Linked DNA regions of Sus scrofa. Each later gene encodes a partner of the first gene's protein in a complex. Links are inferred from orthologs where the notes say so. Each region holds a gene or a part of one and is shown in the gene's direction. Other genes may lie near its edges. The genes, in order: PDPN and CLEC1B.

Region 1 (3,829 bases):
AATTCAATAATAATAGTTTTGAAGACGGGATCGTGTCAGAGCTTGCTTAAAAAAATCCCCTGATCCCATTTATTTCAGAAATTATCCACTTTGCTTGTGTTTTGCTCCCTTCCATTTAGGGTAAATTCATCTTCTGCCAATTGTTAAATTATAGTTATTAAATCCTAATAATTCTATATCATTGCATCTCTCTCTTTATAGATAAAGGAGATGAAGAGAAATCAAAAACAGTTACGAAAGGTGGGTTAGACTTTGGTACCAAGATATTCTTACTGGAGTTTTTTAAAAGAAAGTTTTATTTGAATTTAACCTTTGTGATGAATTATGTTCTCTCCTGGATCATAGTCAACAGGGGCAGAATACAAAACCTAAAGAGAACAAGTTTTCAACCTAAAGAGAGAAAAGGGAATAGCCTGTATTTGAAAAGAAGCAAATCACAAATGAGTCTATTCACTTAATGACAGCTATGGAGAATGGTGTCATACCTTAGCTTATTCCTACCAAGAATGAAAATAGGGGCTAATTTAAAAGCTCTATGTACACAAATGTTACCCAGTAATTAACAGTGAAGCCACCTCGGAGGAGTGGTATGCCTGACAGATCCTGAGACCCAGAAGTCTTTCCATTCGCAAAAATGAGATTAGAATAACCCAGAGTTTCTCCTTTCAGTCAACTCCCACTGGATACAGAAGAGACAGCGTGGAACACCGTTTGCTCCCGACAGTGGGCCGGGGGCTTTGTTTATCGAAGGTGTATTGTTTACCTAGGGTTCATGTTTGTTTTTTTTTTTTCTCCCTCTTATTCAGATGGCTTGGGGACGGTGACCCTAGTTGGAATCACAGTTGGGGTCTTACTAGCCATTGGATTCATTGGTGCAATCATCGTCATGCTTGTGCGAAAAATGTCAGGAAGATACTCGTAAGTAGGGACCTTGCCCTTGTGTGATGGGTAAATGAAGGCAGGCATCTCCACCCTGAAACTATTAGAAGCCTCTACATAAGGGTCGTGTTCAGAAGCCACCAACCTCCTCCGTAAGCACTTCAGCTGAAGTTCCCCCAGAACAGGTGTCTTCTTGGACCTTACAAGTTTCCAAGAAAAGGAAGAACCAGAGAGGCTTCTTTAGTTGACTTCCAATGACACCTGACCAAATTCGACCTCTTGTCTTTATTTGCCAACTAAGTGAACTTGAAAGAAAACCCAAATCAGATTTTAACTTAATACCCCATCACTCCACTCCCAGTCATCAGAGGTAGGTGGTTTTCAGAAAAGCTTACATGGCAGAGCCAGGGCCCCCTTCCAGTGAGGAGTACTACTGGTGATGGGGGTCTGTCCCCTGATTCCTGCCCTGCATGTGCCCACACATGGCAGTGTACTCCTGGCATGGATTGTTACTAAGGGGAAGGAATACTTTTTATTAAAATTCCTTAAGAATTTGGACTATGTGAATTCACAGCCAGAGGAAAACATTTTCTTATCTCTGTTGGGGAAATGGTATATGACTGGGTGGGGAGAGGACAGATGCTGTACAGCTGGAGGTCAAGGGCTATGACTGACCGTTCAGGCGCAGGCTTAGGTAGGTATCTGGAAATGCCTGGGAGTCTGACCCTGGGTGTGAGGACCAGGCCTGGAGGAAGGATGAGCAGGGAGAGAAGAGCCCCAGGATCCAGAACTGAAAGACACAGGACAATAGGGACAATGACTCACGGGAAGTCTAGTCACAGTGCCAGTCAAAGAAATGATAGTCACCTTTCTCTTGGTTTTCCCAGGCCCTGAAGAGCTGAAAGATCATGCCCTCCTGCCAACACGTTTAAAGAAGAAAAAGTTTTCAACCGCCCCCTCCCCCGGCCCTGAGCACGTGGAGAAGATGACCCGTGGAAATGCTTGCCTCCCCCTGCCCCCCGCCCCCCGCCACCCTCAAAATCCATGGCGATCCCTCCACTTGCCAGAAGTAACCGCAGGAAAGAATATTCATAAGACTTGCTCCTCTAAGCATTTGTCTTTTGGGGAGGAAAAAAATTTGTTTTAATAGAAATTTTGCATAAGATGACTTAAAAGACAAACTGCATAGAAAACAGAGCAAAACTACATCATCTGATGTGTAACTCAGTATCATTCAATCTATGTTAGAAAGTGTGATTGTGTCTCTGCTCCACCCATTCTCTCTTGTTGTTACGATGCAAAGGAATTTGGAAATATTTATCCCCATGGCGTCCTTGGGTTAAAAGCTATGTCATTAAGTGGCAAAAGCATTGTACAGTTTCTGGTCTGTTGAAATGTACATGTTCCAGTCTAATTAGATCTGTTTTGAAAGTCTGATTTGGTCTGAATGATATGCCAGTACAGAATCTAAACTTGCATAATATGTAATGAGCAACTGCCTTTCACTGGTCTGGGTAAATCATTTCAAAGGCATCTATTTTAGATCAGACACAGGACGTCTGTACTTGGGGGAAGCCATCCTGTTTCTTGCAGCAAGGGTACCGGACAGGCTCCAGGTGTGCCCTGCTGCCTGCCCCATGAGTGACTTGATAATTCAAAGGTTTCCATCTGCCTGCCCCTTCCACTCCCCTCAGATGGTGGGGATCCAGAGCTAAGGGGGTGACTTTCTTTATTCCCTGTGACGTGAGTCCTCCAGGTCGGCTGCTTTGTTCTGGAATCTAAAGCTCTCAGCCCCAGGTGCCAAAGTGGCTGCAGGAAGCCCAGAGGTACCAGAGCTCAGGTCTTCCAGGAATGAAGAACCACAGTGCTCCCCCAACCCTGTGTGTGGCTCTGAGAAACAGAACCTGCCAATTTACTTTTGGCCTCAGAGGAAAGATCTGGGGATACTAATTTTTGAAAAGCAGCTGGCTTTGGAGACTTGATTTAAAAAGCAAAGACATTCCTGCTTTTCATGATAGCCCACATATTTCTGTGGGGTCACAATTGAAAATGCTATATCGGCACCCCTCCAACTCAGGACCTTTCTCCCCCTAGGTCAACTGAATTCTTTCCCCTCCACGAAAAGTTTTCAGGCAGAGCAGATGCTGTGTCCCTCTTGTGGCAGCGTGGTTCTGATGGCTCTACAGACGTGTGCGGGTTCATAAAACAGGAAAGTTAACTAGCAGTTGGAAAGTACAGCTTATTCCTCCCACCTGTTGCAGTCACGTGGGGATGTTATTTTAAACAGTGTGCCCATGTGTCATTCTGTCCAGCTGGTCTACCAGCCCAGGTTCCATACCTGACCATCCACAGATGGAGAGAAGGGGCTTCGGAGGAGCTTTATGAATCTCTTCAAAATCCTTCCGTTTCATCACTCAGATTCCTGAGCAGGAGTTGGGAATACTGTTCATCTTTCCTATCCTCTCTTCTTTCTCTCACTGTGAAAAATCATAGTCAACCCCAAGTCATACACTGGACCCATCGCCTGCTGGGACAGGACTGTGGGTTTCTTGGTCACATCTGTGTTGGTGCTCAATGCAGTGTAGACGTGTTTGAAAATAAAACAGACGATTGTGTATAAGAATGAGTCAGCCCCTTTGATTGGGAATCTCGATGAAGTCTGGGTCACCCATAAGGACGTCTCCAGTTAAGACTACAAATTATATAAATATTTGCCTCTTGACTTAATTGAGAGTGAATTAGAAACGGTTGTAGGAAGCACATCCATGGGAAAGAAATGCAGCTATACCTTTCACCCAGGGCTTTGCCGAAATGGAGAGGTTAAGGTCAAGCAGAAGCATCAGAGGAGGAGTTCCTGTCATGGCACAGTGGTTAGCGAATCCGACTAGGAACCATGAGGTTGTGGATTCGATCCCTGTCCTTGCTCAGTGGATTAAGGACCTAGCGTTGC
Region 2 (2,625 bases), on another chromosome or scaffold:
GACTGGATTAATCCGTTGGGTTGGATTGTCCCGCCAGAACTCCAAAGAGGCCTGGATGTGGGAAGACGGCTCAGTCCCCTCCAAAAATGTGTAAGTCACTGGACCCTCAGAATACAAGGCACGACTAGCAATTTTTATTCCAGAAATCTTCTACCCTCTTGAGTGCAAACTACTTAACAAGTTGGAAGGTGACGCTATGTCGTGCTGTATGTTACCTACACAGGGGCTGATTCATGTCCTAGTCCTAACAAGACAGCACCTGTAATAAGATTCTATTTTCCCTGCTCTCCCACTCCTCTGTTCTTTATGTAAGTCACACTCCACCCCTGTTCCTGATATTGTCCTATTCCTTTCTACCCTCACCTTTGTCATTGGAATATTTTATGTGCGCAGGTAGATGGGTGGGTGGGTGGGTGTGGAGGGGGGGTGTTAGCTTGATTTGATTCTCTTCACATAATTTCATAACAAAATGATCATCCTCACTATTTTGTGGTCGAAAGTTATTATTTTGAGGGTTCTTTTGACTTTTCAGTATCATTTTACCTCGTCTATCTTCCTCGGGGTTTCCAAGAATCAGGCACGTCTTTCACAAGATGATTTTCATTTTCATGTTGACAGTCTCTATCCTTCAACAAACAGTCCAGGCAAAGGGCTCAATTACTCTGAGTTACTTAACTGGCTTTCCAATCTCCAATCCCCTTTTGTTTATCTTGTGCAATGTCTCTCCCGTTAAAATTTAAACTGATAACCAAACTTAATCTGATCATTACTTAAAATTTTAATTAATTTATTTAATAGGTATTTATTACCTACTATGCATAGGCGCCAAGACTACCACAAGTACAAGCAAGCCTCTTTATAGACCTCAGGCTTTATTCTCATCACTGGCTGCTTCATTCACAACATTGCAGGCAAACTGTGATCCCTCTGTTCTTTCAATAAATCAAACATGTTTTAAGGTCTTAGGGCTTTTGCACTTGCTATTTCCTTCCTGAATGCTCTGTCTCAAGAAGTCCATGGTGGGTTCCCCCTTGTGACTCCAGTCTCTGCTTAAACATCACTTCCTCAATGAGACAAATTTTTATTACCCAAACTATATTAGCTTCCCTCCAGCCCATCCACTTAACTCTATCCTATCACACTGTTTTGTTTCTTCATAACTCTTAACCAAATTCTCTGAAATATTCTATTTGTTGCCTTCTTACCAACATTTCTCTCACTATAATGTAAGTTGTTTGTAGAAAGGACCCTGTCTTTGTTTACCGCTCTATCATCAGCACAGAAAACAACTTTAGCAGGTAGTAGGGATCCCAAAGATATTGGTAAATGAATTAATAAATATACATCATTTGTCCTCTTGTCATAGTGACATAGGTGGGAATATAGACAAGTTCACAAGCAAATACAGTACATGTTCTGTCTTATATCCATTATCCTCTAATATAAATCCTCACTTCAAAAATATTTCATCAGCTTACTTTTCTCTGAACTTGTTTCCATCCTGTGCAGGTACTTGCTCTACAAGTCTCTCTCATCTCTGTTGATATAAATTCTGTCCTTCCTTCAAAACAGAACTAAAGTATAATCTCATATAAAAAGATGGAGCCTTTCTCATCATTTCAGATCCCCACCCATCTTTTCCTCTGAACTCCTATTGCACCTACTGTTCACTTCTGCTTAATCTTATCCTATAATAAATTGCTATGAGCTATTCAAAAGTCCATGCTTCATACTCCCAAGCAAATTGGAATTTCCTCAATGTTCTGAGTGTTGTTTTTTACTGTTTTTCCCCATACTTCTTGTCTTCACTTTGTGCACCAAAGTACTATACACAGAGTTTGATTGCTGCTTATTTATTTAGCTTTCCAAGGAAATCATTCTACCTTTTGCATTCACAGGATTAAGTTTTCTGGAAATGGAACAGAAAATATGAATTGTGCTTATTTTCATAATGGAAAAATCCACCCTACCTTCTGTGAGAATAAACATTATTTAATGTGTGAGAGGAAGGCAGGCATGCCAAAGGTGGACCAACTACTTTAATGCAAAGAGATGGGCAGGATGTCACAGACAAGTGCTTGATTGTATAATAAAAGATCTGGATGAAAGACTCATCAGCCATAACATTGCTTTATTTTTCCCTTTATTCCCCTTGGAGTTATCTTTACTTCGCCTTTCCTACCAACGCCTTTTAGTCCCTTCTTTATAATTAGGAATAACTTAATGCCTTCTTTATAATCCAGAAGCCAGTCAGAGAATTGATTATTTAATTGTTCTCTTCCCATTAATTTTCATTCTTCTTGTCCTCCATTCACAATTGTTTCAACATACAGTGAGTCACTGCATCTTCAAACATAAACACATTTTTTTTTAGGTATTGGAAGCCTGTGTCTTGACTTGCTTTTTAATTAAATGCATACATTTTAAGTTGAAACAAGAAAAGTTAAGCCTTGGAGTTCCCGTCCTGGCGCAGTGGTTAACGAATCTGGCTAGGAACCATGAGGTTGTGGGTTCAATCCCTGGCCTTGCTCCGTAGGTTAAGGATCCGGCGTTGCCATGGGCTGTGGTGTAGGTTGCAGACACGGCTTGGATCCCACATTGCTGTGGCTGTGGCATAGGCCGTGG

The links.
Region 2: the proteins of PDPN (region 1) and CLEC1B are in contact, whole or in part, in a crystal structure (PDB 3WSR), measured with the Homo sapiens proteins. The link is inferred for Sus scrofa from reciprocal best matches to the Homo sapiens genes PDPN and CLEC1B. Residues at the interface, in NP_006465.4 of Homo sapiens: Ala46, Glu47, Asp48, Asp49, Val50; in NP_001380271.1 of Homo sapiens: Arg107, Phe116, Arg118, Arg152, Thr153, His154, Leu155, Arg157.

What each region holds. Positions count from the first base shown.
Region 1 is NC_010448.4:73,046,502-73,050,330, forward strand, and holds the end of PDPN (podoplanin), read left to right. Parts: intron 1-201; coding exon 202-240; intron 241-806; coding exon 807-918; intron 919-1,766; coding exon 1,767-1,773; 3' UTR 1,774-3,499; downstream 3,500-3,829. UniProt on the Homo sapiens protein: Mediates effects on cell migration and adhesion through its different partners.
Region 2 is NC_010447.5:61,889,361-61,891,985, reverse strand, and holds the end of CLEC1B (C-type lectin domain family 1 member B), read left to right. Parts: coding exon 1-90; intron 91-1,898; coding exon 1,899-2,043; 3' UTR 2,044-2,112; downstream 2,113-2,625. UniProt on the Homo sapiens protein: C-type lectin-like receptor that functions as a platelet receptor for the lymphatic endothelial marker, PDPN.